Linked DNA regions of Coturnix japonica. The protein of the gene in region 1 interacts with the protein of each later gene in a biochemical or structural test. Links are inferred from orthologs where the notes say so. Each region holds a gene or a part of one and is shown in the gene's direction. Other genes may lie near its edges. The genes, in order: TNKS, AXIN1, RNF146 and TNKS1BP1.

What was found.
Region 2: the proteins of TNKS (region 1) and AXIN1 form a complex in vitro, tested with the Homo sapiens proteins (2 studies listed by BioGRID). The link is inferred for Coturnix japonica from reciprocal best matches to the Homo sapiens genes TNKS and AXIN1.
Region 3: the proteins of TNKS (region 1) and RNF146 form a complex in vitro, tested with the Homo sapiens proteins (3 studies listed by BioGRID and IntAct, with this or other methods). The link is inferred for Coturnix japonica from reciprocal best matches to the Homo sapiens genes TNKS and RNF146.
Region 4: the proteins of TNKS (region 1) and TNKS1BP1 form a complex in vitro, tested with the Homo sapiens proteins (2 studies listed by BioGRID). The link is inferred for Coturnix japonica from reciprocal best matches to the Homo sapiens genes TNKS and TNKS1BP1.

The regions. Positions count from the first base shown.
Region 1 is NC_029519.1:44,121,170-44,125,262, reverse strand, and holds part of TNKS (poly [ADP-ribose] polymerase tankyrase-1), read left to right. Parts: intron 1-304; coding exon 305-529; intron 530-4,093.
Region 2 is NC_029529.1:10,754,054-10,758,146, forward strand, and holds part of AXIN1 (axin-1), read left to right. Parts: coding exon 1-504; intron 505-4,093. UniProt on the Homo sapiens protein: Component of the beta-catenin destruction complex required for regulating CTNNB1 levels through phosphorylation and ubiquitination, and modulating Wnt-signaling.
Region 3 is NC_029518.1:53,756,720-53,761,353, reverse strand, and holds the start of RNF146 (E3 ubiquitin-protein ligase RNF146), read left to right. Parts: upstream 1-1,353; 5' UTR 1,354-1,474; intron 1,475-1,555; exon of another isoform or gene 1,556-1,883; intron 1,884-4,634. UniProt on the Homo sapiens protein: E3 ubiquitin-protein ligase that specifically binds poly-ADP-ribosylated (PARsylated) proteins and mediates their ubiquitination and subsequent degradation. May regulate many important biological processes, such as cell survival and DNA damage response.
Region 4 is NC_029520.1:7,745,922-7,750,656, reverse strand, and holds the start of TNKS1BP1 (182 kDa tankyrase-1-binding protein), read left to right. Parts: upstream 1-1,783; 5' UTR 1,784-2,342; exon of another isoform or gene 2,343-2,387; intron 2,388-2,692; exon of another isoform or gene 2,693-2,798; intron 2,799-3,056; 5' UTR 3,057-3,162; intron 3,163-3,666; 5' UTR 3,667-3,713; coding exon 3,714-3,798; intron 3,799-3,908; coding exon 3,909-4,548; intron 4,549-4,735. Other genes in the region: FACT complex subunit SSRP1, read left to right, coding at 126-296, 571-662, 840-1,023, 1,218-1,286.

The DNA.
Region 1 (4,093 bases):
TGCCTGTCACAGAGGGTGCTGGCTGCTGGAAATCATTTGTCACCACTTTAGCAGCATGACACTGCAGCTGAGTTGTATGTTCGTCTCGGAGAGCTGACAGCTTCTTCCTTGCATCCTTTAAGTGTTATGTATTAATTTCTCTTCTGGAAAAATAATAATGTCTTCTGTATTTAGTCTCTGGCCTGTGCATGGAGTTAATAATGTAATTGGTATTTGTGCCCTGGAGTAAGAGTGAACAGCTTGTTTTAAATATTGTCATTTTTCTTTTTGCAAAGCATTTTAACAGCAGTGTGTTCTCTTACAGGGTTTGGAAGGAAAGATGTTGTAGAGCACTTGCTACAGACAGGAGCCAACGTTCATGCTCGTGATGACGGAGGGCTGATACCCCTTCACAACGCCTGCTCCTTTGGTCATGCTGAAGTGGTTAGCCTGTTACTGTGCCAAGGTGCAGACCCTAATGCTAGAGACAATTGGAACTACACTCCTTTGCACGAGGCTGCTATCAAGGGGAAGATAGATGTGTGTATTGGTAAGTCTCTGTCACTTATTGTAACTTCACCAGATGTGTATTTTGTGCGCTTACAATTTAAACCATTGTGTAGGTATAGTGACAGTCATTCAGGACTAACTTTTTCATGTTGTGCAGTTCAACCTTTGCTGAACTTGCATCTGGAAAATGAATATAGAGCAGGTTCGTCAAATCTCCTGCTAAATTAGGGCCTTCAAAACCTGAATGTGGAAGTCTCCCTGCACTCTGCTAAATGTCTTTGCTTTTAAGGCTGCTCAGAATGTTGGGTTAGTGCTTAGAAAGATGGTTAACCTTTTATTCTGTACAATATGGAGTAATGTTTGTCCTTTGCAGCTTTCAAATACAAGTTGCAGGACACCACCGCTTACAGTGGTTATATATCTTCAGTGTGTGCTGTAGCCTGGAGCAAAAGCAATTTCAAATAAAATTGAACACTTCAATCATTTTAAATGCACCCAGACCGTATAAGGGGCTTTTCAGCAAGATGTCGTTAACTTTTATGGTGTTTTTTCCCCTCAAAGTATTTAGTGTTACTTCCTTTTTTCATAAAATGTCTTAAGTTGGAAAGGAGCTTAAGACCCATACAGTTCTGACCCCCTGCTTTGGATTAGGCTTCCCAGGGCCCCGTTCATCCTGGCCTTGAATGCCACCAAGGAAGGGGTATCACAGTGTCTCTTGGACAGCTAGTGTCTGACCATCCTCAGAATCTGTTTCTTTTTTGCATTGAGTTTGTTTACATTTTATACTTAGTGGGTCAACTAGTTGGCATGATCCTGTTTCTCCTTAATGGCTTTATATATATATATTTATATTAAGGTCTTCAGCCTTTATCTCAAAAGACCCTGTGAAGGAACAGAGTATGTACAAAGATAATGAACAATGATTGCTTAGGGCATGAATACTAGGACTGAATACTTGAATAGCTTCGTGGAATATGTTGTACAGTAATACTATTTACGCCTGAAATGTAGACTGTTAGAATTGATATAAAGGAGGAAATTGGCCTGCTGAAATCACATTCTTAATGTTTCTTTTTAAAACAAGTGAGGTCTGCTTTTTAAAAAGCCTTTAATTGAAGAATATTCTCTGGAAATCCCAGTGTAATGTGGGATTTATTGCTGAACTTAAGTATCTGCCTGAAAAGCAGTAGACTCCATAGGAATTAATTATCTAACCATATCTTTGTCTATCTCTAGGCACCTTCCAAGTGATGCAGTGGGATAATTTGTGCAATTTATTTTCTCACCTTTACTCTTTCTGTGTCACCTTATTCTACATCTGTTCTTTATCATTCCCTAGCATAGAATACTGTTCTCTTGGCCACTTTTACAGGTCAAAAAGGGATAAAGTGATAACTGAACAGAGTGCAAAGCTGTGGCACGTTCACGAATAGCAACAGGGAAAACTCAATGTTCTGAAGTGGTTGGAAGACCAACAGAGGCTAGATGATGATTGCAGTAGGATTGTAGAATTTGCTTTTGACTAGCACTAGCCTTGCAAGAGTATGTATGTGTTTGCACTGAAAGTACTATTAAACTCAGCTTTACAAGCTGAAGTTAAACTGTTGCCTGTGAGCTCTGCCACTTGGAAGCTTGTGTAGTAATGGGAAATGTCATAAACTGGTTAAAACTTGAAGTATGTACAGGCTTCTCTGGAATCTAAACTGGAAGAGAGCAAATGACAGTGATATGTGGTTTCTTGTGCTTCTGGTGTTGATTTAATATTAGACTCATAGAATCATTGAGGTTGGAAAAGACTCTTAAGATCATGAAGTCTAACCATAGTACCGTAACTCTAACAACCCTCTGGTAAATCATATCCCTGAGCACCACATCCAAACGGCTCTTAAACACATCCAGGGACGGTGACTCAAGCACCTCCCTGAGGAGCCTATTCCAGTACTTGACTATCCTTTCTGTAAAGAAGTGTTTCCTAACTCTTAACTTATCTGTGGGTTTTAGACTTCCCCAGTTGGTTTTCTCCATTTTCCTAAAATTCAGCAATCAAGAGAAGGAGTCTCTTCCTCATTATTCTGCTGGGTACAAGACAATCTATGGAGGACAATAAACCACTTTACTTATTTTGTGATACTTCTTTACAAATAATGTTTACAAATAATTGAAGTCTGGTTACTTGCATCAAAGAGTACAGTACAGTAATGTCCAAAACTTATTTTGTATCTGTATGAAGTAAGGTCTTCTAATATTAACTTTTAGCAAACAGAGGGAAGGAAGGTGGAAGAAAGAAGCAACTTCATATTACAGGGATTGTTTAATGGAGCTGATGCTGCTCTTGCAGGCACTAACTGCTTGATTTCAGGTGTCTGCTACCAGCTTTCTAAATACTGTGCAGAAATACTTAGTTTTATGGGATTATACTTCAGATTACTGTAGCACTCTCTGCTTTTAACTTCTCAGTGGAGCCACGCAGTCTTAATGCAGTTCGTATGTGGTTTGAAAACAGTCTCTAGGTAAATGTGTAGCTGTTAAGCTGTAGAAGTGGCCTGGTCCAGCAGAGCTCCTGGATCTCTTCCAAATCTAATGGAAAGCATGGATTAAAGTATGGCTATAGAATATAAAGGGTTTTGCTTGTAAAATGTGTGGGTAGTTAAATACTTGTCATGTAATAAACAATGGCAGCTGCCTTGCTTTATGCTGGGGAAAAAGCAAATCTTTAAAGCAAGTTCAGAAAATGCATTTTGTGTGATTGAAACCTACTGAAAATACTGAGTGATTGCCTCATGTTCTGTTATTTGCTTTAGTCTTTCATGCAGTTAATACTCATGCTGACTGTAGATTCCTGTGCTGCAGTAAATCCTTATTTTTCCACACTTAAACAAACATACCGTGTTTCTTACATAATGCTGTTCCTTTACGGGAAAGACTGAGGTGTCTGATGTGAATCCTGCTGTTTGTGCTGCTGTGTATCCTTTATGGTTTGGTATGATACAGTGTCTAAGCAGGCAGAGCAATTCCTTGATTAGGCAGCATGCCCTTGTCTTCACTGTGATCACTGAGTACTGAACTTCCATCCTCATTATTTAAGATGAGGCAAGTCAGTTGTATTACTGATGTCCTTAAAGTGATCACTCACTGACCCTACAGTAATTACTGTATTTCTTTTGCTGCTGCAAATAGCAAAGCTTAAAAGCTAGAATTTCAAACGATGAGAGAGGAAGCCAAGAGGAAGTGGCTGCAAAAATGTATTTTCTTGGTTGGAGTGATGTAAGGATGGTGCAGCCTAAAAGAGGAATTCACTCAGACTGACCTAAATGGATGATTCCTTGCTGTGATATCTACAGTGGCTGTGATGTTTAGGTGATAGGCTGAGGGATTTTGACAGTATAGAATATTTTGGTGTCTAAGTATCATCCCCAAGTGAAATACTGTTGAAAACTTGGGTGATATCTGTAAAGACATTGCATATTCTTGCCCTGTTCTTAACATACTTTTTACTAGGTATCCTGTTCTAGCTGTTGCTAGAGATGGTACTCCTGCTTTAAAATTGACCTTTTGGTTCACACAGCGCAGTCTATTCAGTTAATTCACATGAAGTTCTTTGTTG
Region 2 (4,093 bases), on another chromosome or scaffold:
GAAGCTGGAGCCCTGCGTGTCCAATGAGGAAAAAAGACTCAAACTGGCAAAAGCCATTTACAAAAAGTACATTCTCGACAACAACGGCATTGTGTCCCGGCAGATCAAACCAGCCACAAAAAGCTTCATAAAAGACTGTGTCATGAAACTGCAGATTGACCCTGACATGTTTGACCAGGCCCAAACTGAGATTCAATGCATGATAGAAGACAATACCTACCCTTTGTTCCTTAAGTCGGATATTTATTTGGAATACACAAGGACAGGTGGGGAAAGTCCTAAAATTTACAGCGATCCGAGCTCAGGGTCTGGGACAGGTAAAGGGCTGCCTGGTTATCTGCCTACTCTGAATGAGGACGAGGAGTGGAAATGTGACCAAGACACCGAGCCTGAGGCCAGCAGGGACTCGGCGCCCTCAAGCAGGCTCACCCAGAAGCTGCTTTTGGAGACTGCAACCCAACGTGCCACCTCGACCCGGCGGTACAGCGAGGGCAGGGAGTTCAGGTATGTGAGTGTCCCAGCTGGGCCCTTCTTTGGGGGCCTCCAGGTGCCCCTGGGGGCTGCTGTGAGATTGGAGTTGCTGGGAAGCGGGGGATGTTTGACAGCTGGAAGTGCTTGGGGCTGGTCGAGCATCAGCATGGGACAGTGTCGCATGGGTGTTATGCTGAAACACAGCTTTACTTGAATGTAGTGAGTTATTTGAAGGGTGTCTTTGGCTGTTCCTGTCCAGTTCCCCCAAATCACCTCTACGATCTGTTCTTTGCTGTGAGGAAATGCTGCTGAACGTGGTCTGGGTGTAGGTAGGAGGCAGTGGACGGTGCAGAGCTGTGGGCAGCCCCAGTCTGCACAGAGCGAGCAGAGAGCTGTGGTGTCAGGCTGGCCTGTAGCCTGCAGTGACGGAAGGTCAGTGTTCAGTTACATGAGTGCAGATGAGTACAGCTCGTGGTAAAACCCCTTGTAAATATACAAGGAAATGGTGATGAGCCACAACTAGAGGCTGCAGGAAGCTTGCGGGAAATACCCTAACGTCTGTAATGTGTATATGGGTCAAATGGGGTTCATGATGCTCCCTGTAAGTGCTATTGCTTTGCAGTCAAGCTTTCTGATAGTGGATTCCAGCCAAACCCAGTTAAAATTATTCTGTGTTGCAGCTTTTCCCCTCATCGCAATATTTGATTTTCTGCTCTAGAGGAGTTGCCCAGTTTTTCAGCCTGTGCTTTTCTTTTGGTCCCCCACCCATTTCCAACCAACACGCGTTTTGAAACTTGCTGAGAGCTCAGTTAAAATTCCAGACAATTAACTTAGCAGGGAGTTCTCTGGGATCAATAAGCGCGTGTGTGTGTAACCCCTGCTGAATCAACACAACGCAGCCAGACACACATTCCTCCTCCTTTAAAATAAAATCTCCTTGTTTTAAGACCTGCTTCAGATGAGATCTGTCACTCTCTGATGGTTACGAAATGAAGTAGCTGAACTGTCCTCATGGAAGCTGCATTTCTGTGCTTCCTCTCCCCACACCATCCCTTTATGCTGGCAGCTGGATGTGCATCCCACCCTTCACAAGGTCTCAGCGCCTTTTAGATAGCAAAGTGTTCTCATTTCGATTCCTGTTTTCAAACAGATTTTGAGGAGGGGGTTTTGCACGTGAAACTCAGGAAGAAAAACAAGAGGAATCGGTGTGAACTCGTGCTGTTTTAATCAGGAGTCTGAGAAACAGAACCCCTGAGTCCTGGGACTTTCTCATGGAGTTAATAAAAACCTTGAGTGTTTCTTGCAGTGGGTTTTCCCCCAGTGCTGGGTACTGACTGGATTGGACTAGAAAAGTCCACAATTGAAGTGTCTTTTTATGTAAGTAAGAATGGCTTATGACTGGCAATGACTTGCTCCAGTTGAGTTTAGTTTCTGTTCTAGAGCAGGTAGTGAAAACCTGCATGAAAGCTGCATTCTTCAGGTCCTGCTTCAGAAAAAGTGCTGTTTATGCATTACCTGAATGTGTTCGTGCCAAACTCTAAACGGTTCAGAAATACATTGTGAAATAGAAATATTTTGGGGTGGCGTTCCTCAACCTCGTGCATTTTCTGACTAGATTGGAACAGCCCAAAATAAGTCTTTACCTGGGGGATGGAGGTCAGGAGAAACGTGCTGCTGTTAATTTGTTGTGTCTGACAGCCTGTCATTGTGGCTGCAGACACTCCATTGACCTGCTGGGTCCGGAGGCAGGGATATGTTTACTGTTCTCACCAGAGCAGGAGTCATTTTGGAGCCTGGAGTAAGTAACTGAAAATGAGTGATGATTTATTTGAAGTGCTGGTCTGTCGGCCGCTGTAATGTCCGGAGCATCTCCATGGAAGATGGGTGCTGCTCAGTAGGGTGATCTATGCATTTTGTTCTGCTGAGATCCTAATTTAGGAGTCTGATTGTTGGTCTCTGTGCAAGCCTTTGTGGCTGAAATAGCTTGCTTCCTGAACACTGCATCGAAATAGCTGCCTCCAACAGACTGCTTTTCAAACAGCGGCATCTTAACGTGCAAACATTTCTGCTTTCTCCTGCCTTGGAAGCTGGTGGAGCTGCGTGCAGCAGGGAGCGATCCTTGTGCCATGGTTGGAAGGCTGAGTCTGTCCTGATTTGGTTTGAATGTTTCTACAGGCTTCTTTTTTTTTTCCTTTGTGGAAGAATCTCTCGTCTCTGTTGTTGAGGGAATGTTGCAATAAGCTGTTTTGCGTTAGAGCTGAAGGCCTGTTTAATCTTCACAAGATTTAACGTCTATTCCTTGGCTTCCATGGAAACTCTAAATAAAGAGGAATCCGACCAGATGCGATAGGAACGTGTCTCTGGTAGCCTAGGGAGCATCTTGAATCGGCTCCAATTCTTTTTGCAGCAGCAGGTTTGTAAATCTTAGTGCCTTATTTCTGTGCCCACGAGTGCAAAAGGCAATGCACTGTTAGTGCTGGGCAAGTGTGCCAGTGTGCGTGTATGTGGGAATATCCCAAAGCAAAAAGCACTGCTGTTACCCACTGCGTCTTTATACGTGTAGGAAAAGGCCAATAGTCATTATAGTTAGGCTCCTGCAAATTAATTGGACATTGGTTATGGATCAGTGAACTTCAAAGGGGGCAACCCCTGAAGATCTCAGGCATTAACTCTCAGCTTCCGAAACCGACACTAACGTGGTTGTGAGCGCAGCTAAATCTTTCATTAACCTTCTTTTGACACACCAGGACTGGGGTTTTCAGATATGAGGAGCAGAAATTACAGCCGTGCCTTAGAACTGCCCTGCAGCCCCGTGTTCGAGCACTCCTGCAAAACAGATGGGTCCCTTCTGTCATCTCTTCAGCTCTGCATCAGGAGGGTTTCCCCATCCCCTCCCAGGGCTTTGGGGAGCAGCACTCGCAAGCTCTGCCTTTGCTTTCCATGGTGGAAATGGAGCAGCTCTCCCCAGGACACTGCTTGTTCTTCATAACAGGGTGCTGAGCAAGAGGAGCAGCAGCTGTAGCGGGATGCAACACCTCTAGTCAGAGACTCATCCCAAACCTCAGTGAGTAATGCTGCATTGCAAGAGAGATGAGCAGCAGGGCCTGGTTCAGGTGTGGGATCTCTGCTGTGTGGATTACATCAGCAGGTTGACAGTCACAGGTTTGGCCTGCATCAGGAAGGAGCTGAAATTTAGCTGGCAGACTTGATTTTGAGGCTTGCTGCTTCATTAACAATTAAATATTAAATTGCACACTTCTAAGTGAAAACGATGCGGTGAAGGAGTTGGAGTTAATTGTGCTGAGTGAGCAGAAGGCTGGAGATGTGCAGTCACAGCAGTTGGTGCAGAACAGTCTGCATTCAGGCTGTTCCATGTTTGCATTGCTGTCTTACCAGCGCTGCCTTGAGCTGAAGAATCAGCACATGTGTCTGTGAGCTGAGCCACTGGAGCTTCAGGAGGGACCATTTGCTTTATATGAGGCTGTTCGTTATTGTTGTACCTGTATGTAACAGCAGAAGAAAAGCGTTGGCCTCAGTCTGGTAGCGTGGAGCTTGGGTTGGCACCAAGGGTGGGTGCATCTGACCCAAAGGTGTCTCATTCAAGCACTGTCAGCATTCACAG
Region 3 (4,634 bases), on another chromosome or scaffold:
CACTGTCAGGATATTTGCTTTTAATGTTTTCACTTTGGAACTCACTCCTCAGCCCCTCCTCTGGCTGCCCGCACAGAGGAACCAGGGGCACACTTGTCACTCTAGTGCCATATTGGTGGATTCACAACTTCTCATTCTGTTCAGAGGGGTGGCTGAAGTTGTAGGTGTGAGGAAAAGGGGAAACGATTCCATATCCTATCCCATTTATGCCCCACCCCTGGAGGTGCTCAAGGACAGGTTGGATGGGGCCATTGGACAGCCTGATCTGGTGGGTGGCAGCACTGCCCATGGCAGGGGGCTGTGATTGTGTGGGTTTTGAGGTCTCTTCCATCCCACGCCATTGTGTGATTCTGTGATTCACAAATCACCTACTCTTTTGCTTCTATTGTGACCTGGAGAAGCTTGGAGCTTCTCCAAAATCTATTTTGATACAGACTCAAGCCACAGCAGGAGACTGTTTTCTCCTATCTTCCCCCAGCTATGTCACAAGCAGGGGTTGAGCTCATAGTATACCTGCATGTCTCCAAGGGTTTACATAGTATCATACACATCTAAAGAAGCAGAAGAAAGGTCTTTATAAATAGAAGGACTGAAACATGATTAATAGCTCTCAGTTGCCAAAGCATCAGCAGAATATTAATAGTGGGGGTGCAGACTCTTGCCAGGGGAGGAGGTGTCTTCTCAGGACTAGTCTGGTGAATCTTTACTTTTCAAGCCGCTGTGCACATTAAAAATGTAGTGGCAAGTATCAGACATGAATTCCAGATTGACGACGCTGTAGGCAATGGTAACAAAGAGAAACAAAGGAGGGCACGGAGCTACGAAGGAAGCAGAGGCAGACAGAGTGGTGGTGCTTTCAGTTGCAATAGACAGGTACAGCTAATGCACGTTAAGGAAACCACTGCTGGACGTGGGGCGATGTGCTGCAGGAGCCAGCACAAAGATGCGAACACAACATGCATTTAGACTGAAATTAAAGCTGGCAATGAAGGCCGATGTTATTGCAGGTACCATTCTTCGGTTACCAGCTTCGGCACAACCTGATATTGCCTTTAACCATTTCTTCACCGAGCGTAAAATGAAACCATACGTTCACTACTGCATTTTCTCGGTCGAACTAAACTGTCAGACCCCGGAACACAGACGCGGGTTTATTTATTACTGAGAACACTTCATTCAGGGTGCTTTATTTTCCTGTAATCTCCGTTCGACGGAGACACCGAACCCCCAAAAGCGGATGGTGCGCTCCAGGCCCCGTCGCCATGGCGGCATCACGAGCGCGGGGTGTGGCGGCGCGGCACCATGGCGTCACCCGAGCGCGGCCCCCAGCGGCGGAGCCGGTTGTGGCTCCTCCCGATCCGCGGCGTCACGGTGGCGCGGCCTCCCCCGCTCTGCTCCGGCCGTGACGTCGGAGCGTCCCGCGGAGGCGGCGGCAGGTGGCGGCGGAGCGGCGCGAGCCGGCCCGGCCCGGCGGGTGAGTCCCGGCTTGGGTGGGCGGTCAGCGCTGACAGCGGCCGCCCCGGGATCGGGATCGGGGAGGGAGCCGAGGCCTGGCCGGGCGGTAGGCGCCGGCCCCAAACAAAAGGCCGGCGGGCGGAGCGGGCCTGCCGCGGCCCTGCGGCGGGCGAGGACCGGCGGGTGCCGCCCTCCTGTCCGCGCTGGAGCCCAAGTCCCGCGGCGTCGCTGTTCGCCATCGAGGGAGGAGGGAGGAGGCCGCGGCCCTGCGCGAAACACTGGGCCCGGCGGAGAGGGGAGGGCGGCGGGCCGGGTCTCGGCTGCTGTCCGCCCGCTGTCAGCGGCCGAGCCTCGCAGCCGGAGGGGGAGCGAGGGATGTCGGCGAGCACAACAGGAAGAGCGTGAGGAGCTGCGAGCGGTGCCGCCAGGTGCTTTTGTTTCCATGTGTCTGTGCTCGAGGTTTTTAATTGCATCCTTCGGGAGTGGTAAAGCGGGGCGGAAAAATAGGTCCTGCGCTTTGTGCTATATGTATTGTCACCGCTGACAAATGATTGCGAAATACTCGGTGAATACGAGGTTTTTCATGCTGTGGATGTCCGCTTTTTGCATGTGAAGAAACCCCAATTAAGGCGTCTTATTTCCGTCTTCGCATAACTTTTCTGCGACGTGAAGTAGAAATAGGGTAGAGCTTGTTGCTGGGAGCGCAGCGTGCAGGGGGTAATTAAAAGGGAGAATAGGGAGCGGAGCTCTAAAGTGTTCTGTCACATCGGTAGCGCTGAAGGTACAGCGCTGCGGCGTTGTTAGATGCTGCCTCTGGGCAGTGGGTTGCTTAAAAATAGGCCTTCAAGTGCCTCTGAAAACGCACAGCCAAAAGTGATCACTTGCGGTTGTACCGAAGGCACGGTAAAACCTGAATATTGATTTGGGTCACTTTGAGTAAATCTTAAATATTTTATGTTTGCGCAGAGTTGCTTTATAGCCCTGTGAGGTTTAACGCTGTGGCTTCTTTCCAAGCGAATCAAAGTACCGATTGTTTAAATGGCCGAGTGAAAGTTTTGTTCTTTTTGTTTCCTCTTAAATCCACCACATCCATGTAGATGTAATGGAATTGCCCAGAGAGATGAAGCTGCAGGACTTTTGAAGGCTGTCGAATAAGGTTTGGAAGGCTCTTGGTGTTGCTGGGGAAAAATCTTTCTTGGAATCGATGATTATTTTTTTTCCTCCTTCTGTGCATGTTAATTTATATGTCACAATGCTCCTGTACTTCATTTCTCTCTCAGAAGCAGCGATAGCTTCAGATGAGCCCATTTTTGCTTTGTTTTCCCACAGGAATTTTGTCAGTGCCCTCTTATTTGAGTGCGAAACTGAGGTTTTCCTCACTTAAGTCAAATGAAGTAGGACACGGGCTCCCAGTTATAGCACAGCAGAAGAAATTCAGTTTGAATAAATATGTAGCCATTCAGTATCAAAATGGTTGACTGTTCTGCACTTGACTGTTTTTCTGTAACTCGGACCCACACCAATATACAAGCTTCTTAAAATTAAAGTGTAGTAATGCTGTTTAAAGGAACGACAGGGAATTTGAAGCCTTATCACATCATTGATTTCTGAAAGTATTTTAAGAGAGAGAGAGGAGGCAGTGAGATTATTTACCTGCTGTGCTGTCCGATGCTTGCAGGCAGTTGCAAAAACACCAGACAGGTTCCATACCTTTAGCTAATACTGTACTTGTGACAGTAGGCCTCCAGATGGGAGATATATATATGCATATATATATATAATTATTATTTTTTCTCCCTTATGAAACAGAACACCACCAGCATAAAGCAACTACTACCATCCTTCCTTCCTTTACCAGCATTTGGCTCACGCTGTCCTATAGGGAAGAGTTCTGGGATCCTTTTTCCTCTGCTTCTACCTTCCCCCACCCTACTTCCTTAGTAACTGAGATATATGTTAGGGAGCCCGATGGTAACAGTCAAGTATTGAATCACAGAAGAACGTTTACCTTTGATCATTTCTTTTGTAGCGCTGCACCTGTTCAGTTTTCAGCCTCTGGCAGTCAACGAATGAGTTTGTGCTAACTGTTGTAAAGTGGTCTGTCTGGTGTTGCAGAACTTGTGCGATCACCTTTCATTTGAGGCAGGGTTTAAGTGATAGCCTTCAGCGAGTGAGAAGCTGGCTTTAGTTGAATTTACCAGTGGTGTTTTGTTTTCTTCTTTTCCTAAGAAGATAAACTTTTATTTACAAAAATTTCCTAGGGCCGTAAATAACAAACAGTGCACTTATATTTAGGATCTGGCTTCTTATGTTTCTGGAAATGTGTTTATTGTTGCTATTTTTCCTATCACTTGTGTCTCCAAAATAGTAGAAAAGTGAGAAAAATAATGCCCTGGCTATGATACGCTACTGGGAATTTGATAGGCAGCAGCTGACTGATCTGACAGGAGATGGTTTCACTTCATCTTGGCCAAGTGAAAGCTTGATGATTTTATCAAAGACCTCATGCCGTTTTTGGATGACGGGTGTCCTAGGAGGGACACTGCTTCAGCATCCTAACACGGTGTGGAAGAAGTTGGCACGAGGTTCCCTAGCAGGCGTCCTGACAGCCTGCCAAGGAAACAAGGGGTGGTTAACGCTGGCTGAGCCACAGTGTGGCACCAGTTGTTGCCCAGCTGGCGATGCCAAGTTTAAATTCCAATTCCCAGTGGGTCGGATTGTCCTTCATCTGTTGTGGGCTGAGTGTTTCAGAATCAGTGTGCAATAGTCCTCGTGGGCTTGGTGAGGAAGGGACACTCACAGGTTGCCACAGATAGCGTAATTCCTCATATGAGATGCTTTTCTAGCATAGGAAGTTAATTGCTAAGTGTAGAACATGGCTCTCAGCCACTTTACTTCAAAGGAGCAGGAGTCCAGGAAGGGGTGTGTGTGTGTGTAACCACAGATGTCTTTTATCCCGTTTAGTAAAATTTCTAGGACTGGCTTATTAAATAAATAACAATGTAATGAAGCACGGAGGTTACCTGAAGTCAGTATGTGAACTAGTTCTCTTTAATAGCTGTGCAGCAATTACAAAGTTGCTGTGCCATAATCCTATAATTATGCCCTAATTGGATTCTTCTAGGTATAATTACACACGTTAACTACACGCACACACTTTTTTTTCCCCAAGAATCTGT
Region 4 (4,735 bases), on another chromosome or scaffold:
CATCTGTCTGATTAAGTAGCTGAGTTACGGGTGGGATGCAGGAGGCATCATCTTGGGGTAACCAATTAAGACTTTAGTGTGTGGGGTATTTCAAGTCTTGGTTCTTTCCACTTCCTGCTTTCCAGAGCAAGAAAGGCAAAGACCCCAACGCGCCCAAGAGACCCATGTCAGCTTACATGCTTTGGTTGAATGCCAACCGTGAGAAGATCAAGTCAGACCATCCTGGTATCAGCATCACAGACTTGTCCAAGAAGGCTGGGGAGCTCTGGAAAGCCATGTCTAAGGAGAAGAAAGAGGTGGGTTGCTCTTCCAGTGTGGATTGCTAAGCCGTATGTAGGAAGGGAAGGTGGATGTCAGGATGCTCTTGCTTGGTCTCGGGATCCTGCTGCTCCATTAACGGATCAGGAAGGGAGGGTGGCAGTGGGGAGCTGACATCTCAGCTGGTGTGTGAGTAAGGTCTCCAGGTGGTCAGGGACATGGGTGGAGATCGTGTTGGACTCTGGTGGTGCAGATGCTCATGATGGTGGATGGTGTGGGAACAAAGTGCCACTTAACCTGCTTTTGCTGCAGGAATGGGATCGCAAGGCAGAAGATGCCAAGAGGGATTATGAGAAGGCCATGAAAGAGTACAGCGTGGGCAATAAGTCAGAGAGCTCCAAGATGTGAGTATGCTGAGCAGACAAGAGGGATGTGGCAGGGCTTCACTGTTCTGGAATCTGTCTGTCCTCAGCTGCTGTGGTGGCTGGGCCTCTCTGAGGCTGGGGGATTGTGAGATGGGACCAGTGAGCTGTCAGCAAGGTAATGCTTCTGTCTCTTCCACCCTGCCAACACACACACAGGGAGAGGTCTAAAAAGAAGAAGAAGAAGCAGGAGAAACAGATGAAGGGGAAAGGGGAGAAGAAGGGTGCTGCCTCCAAGTCTTCGTCCTCCACCAAGAGTTCTGCCAAGAGTATGAGTGAGAGCTTCAAGAGCAAGGAATTTGTCTCCAGCGACGAGAGCTCCTCTGCAGAGAGCAAGAAGGAGGTAGTAGGGCGGTTTGGTGGTGGGATTTGCTGGGTCTTATTTTACCTCATCCCTACAGGCATATATTCTTCCAGATAGCATGTACATCCAGTCTTGTAGCAGAGGACTGAGTTTGGTCTTTGCTATTGGCAGAGGAGCAGGTGAACATGAGCTGCTCTGCTTCTACTGTCCTGACTTCCCATTTCTTCCCACAGGACTCAGAGGATGAGAGAGGCGCCAGCCCGGCCCAAAGCTCAGAGGATTCCGGATCCGGCTCGGATTAGTTCTGTCCCCGCTGGCTCCAGGCTGGTTCCCAGATCAGCGTGAGGACTGGGTGGGCCGGCCCGCAGGAGGGGTCTGGCTCTTGGGCTCTGGCTGGCTCCGAACCTGCCTGGCCGCCCTTCCTCCTACCTCTGCTGCCAGGTGAGGGGAGGCACCGGAGTGGGGACAGGAGGGTGCCCAGCTTCACTGCTTGAGCCCTTTCCCCTCAGTGCCTGGCTACAGAGTGAAGCCCCACAGAGGGGAGGCCCAGGAAGGAGCCTCGATCCCACTTCTGCCCTGTTTCTCATCAATTTATTTTTTTTAAATACTCGGGTTTGTTTCGGTCTCTTATTTTTTTCCTTTTTGTATGTTGGGTCAGTTCACATGGCAACTCGAATTGAATAAAAAACACCCGCGGCGGGACTGCAGTGTGGGTGTGGAGGTGGGGGTGGGCCGGGCTCCTCTTCCCCAGGGGCACACGGTGCTGGGATGCCTTCCTTCTAACATCGCCTTTCTCCCGGCATCGCCTCGGCCTCCTTGAACCGCAGCCAGGGGCTGAGCTCACTCACAGCCCATCCATTAGCAGCCGGAGCCCCTTCCTGCGGCCTCCCTAATCCTGTTAGTCTCCATCAGCCTCCTAATGGAGGGCCGGCGGTCGATCCCGATGCCGTGCGGATGTTCTCTGTGCCCTGGAGGGCCGCACCGTGCCTGGGGGTGGTGGTGGTGATAGTCATTTCATCAGCGTTCCTGCTTGACCCCGGCATGGCGGCCTGGCTGCGAGTCAAAGGCTGCAGGGGAACGGGCTCGGGGAGACGGGGCTCGGCCTGGCCGCCCCCTCTGTAGGTCACAGCCGGTTTGTGGGGCCGCCGCACCCCGGGGTTCCCCTCTACCGCCCTCTCACACTCAGGCCCCGCACAGCCCGTGCTCTATGGCCGCTGGAGGTGCCACGCGGCGCCGCTCTAGTTCTCCGCTCTCTCTGCTCGGCCACGTGGGGTGGGCGCGGCCCGAGTGGGGGCGCGGTGGGTGGGGAGGGGGCGAGGCCATCGCTCATGAATATGCAGCGGCGGCGGCGGCGGCGGGTGAGCGCGGGCAGGGCGAGGGGTCACGGCGGGAGCGCGGCGTGGGTACGGTACCGGAACGGGGGAGGGGCGGCGGGCAGCTGGGTGGGGTTATCTGGGCACGAGGGTGGCGATGGGGTCGGGGTCCTTGAGGCCGTTCAGCCCGTCGTGCCCGGCGGGGCCGAGGCTCGGGCTGCGAAGGACACAACGGGCCGCCCGGCCCTTCGTGCGGCCCCTCCTCGCCGATGGAGCGGGGGGCTCCGTTTCCATGGCGGCGCTCCCGGGCCCGCCCGGCCACTCGAGCGGGGGCTGCGTTACCGTGACAACGCGGGCAGGCCCCGGAGGATGGGAGGGGGGAGGGGGCACCCCTGTCTCCCTTCCCCCTTCCAGCCCCGTTCCACACCTCCCCCCCCCGCCCCGCTTCCCTTCGCCTCGTCACCGAGCGGGGCCTCGTCAGCATCCCGGGGCTGCCAAGGGGTTGGGAAACAGCCTCGGCGGGGGGAGGAGGGGCGGGAGGGGGGGGACGATGGCTTCCAGATGTGCCCCCTCCGGTTCCGTTTGGCCGGGGTGGGGGGAGCCCGAAGAGAGAAGGGGCCCGAGGGGAGAGGGGGGGGGAAAGGGGGGACCCCGCATCGCGAGTGGGAAGGAGGGAGCGGGGAGGAGGCGAGGGGAAGGCAGGGCAGGGCAGGGCCGCGAGGAGGAGGAGGCACGAGCGAGTTTTTCCTGTCCCCGCAGCGCCAGTGAGTCACGGGGAGCCGTGCGGCCACGCCAAACCGGGCCTGGGCATCGCGGCCCGCTCCCCTCCAGCCCCAGACCCGGCCATGAGGCGACCGAGGGGCAGGTGAGGGGGGGGCGACCCTATAGGGCCCGACGGGGCTGGGGATCGGGACGTGGGAGCGGTATGGGCTGACGTGGTGTGCGGAGCACTTCCGTGAGGGAACGGGCAGCGGGTGGGGGGGCTGCCCCAGGTGTAGGATGGGGGGTCGGTGCGGGTGGACGAGGGGCTGGCACCGCACACAGAAGGCAGCCCAGGTGAACAGGGCTGGGGTGCACATATTTACTGAGGTGTGCAAGGGACTGGCACGGTGTGCTCTATGGTTGGGTGCTGCCGGCGGGTTGGGGCAGTGTACAAAGGGTGGTACGGCCGAACGGAGGCTTGGCGGTGAGATAGTGGGTTGGCACGGTGTGCTGCACTGGTATAAGAGAGTGGGAAGCCAGCAGCACAATGCAACATGCTGCAGGTACAGCAGGGACCGGGGGCACCAGGGTGAATGGGGCAGCAGGCCCCAGTGGACAGGGTGGACTAAGGTTCTTCCGTGACGTTTCTCCCCTCTCTCTTCTGCAGGGGCTGACTGCACGCTGAGTCTGCTGAGCATTAGCTCCGGCTTCACCATGGCCTCCCAGCCCCAGTCCCTGCACCCCCCACTGCCCTGTGCCTCCGGGGGGACCGGACTGGCGGCTGGCAGCTCTGAGAAAGGTGAGAATCTCCCTGAATGGCTTATATGTGTTTTTAACCCAGAGTGAGATGTCTGCAGGTGTTGTTGTGTTCTCCAACTCCCCATGTTTCTCCTCGTCTTTCTCCCACAGGCAGTCCTCGCCCCAAGCCTCCTGTCCGGCCCAAGCCCCGTGTGCTGCCCAAGCCAGCCGTGCCTGCCAAACCCTGCCTGCCTCACCCCCCACCAGCACCACGGCATTCTCGTCCTGAGCTGCCCTCCGCAGAGAAGATAAACCGCCTGGCAGGCCCCCAGCCGTACAGTGGGGGTGGCTCTGGGGTGGCCCTCAGACGCCCCTCTTTCACCATCAAGTCACCTGAGACCCTCAACGGGAAGGGGCTCCCATCCCCACCAGTTTTCACTCCTGAGGACTCGTGTTCAACCCCCAGTGATGAGGTGCCCCCGGCCCCATCGACGCCTTCCCGCAAAGGTCCAGCTCCCTTTAAGGTGACACCAGTGCCTGTGGCAACCAAGCTGGAGCGATTTCCAGGCACCACCGTGGAGGAGATTCTGGCCAAAATGGACAGCAAGGAGGGAAGCCCTGACCGGGCCCGCATCTCTCCCTTTTGCTCCGATTCTTCTTCTCGCTTTGGCTCCAAGATCTTCACCGCCTTCCGGAGACGCCCTAGTGGGGAGGCAGATGGAGACTCCCCTGGTGAAGCCCGCCAGCTGCTCCAGCAGGCTGAGGGAGAGCTGGGGACAGGGGGTGACAGATGCCCGATGGTTGAGATGAGGTGAGGGGCAGAGGATCGGTCCCAGGGACAGGGAACCATGGGGAAAGCATCGGTGGGCAGTTAGAGATGGAACTAAATGGAGCTGGAAGGGACCTGAGGTCTGGTCGCCAGTACAAGGCTGTTGTTCCTCCTAACCAACAGTGCCTTGAGCCGCCTTCGTGGGAAGGCTTGGTCACCCGCGACAACT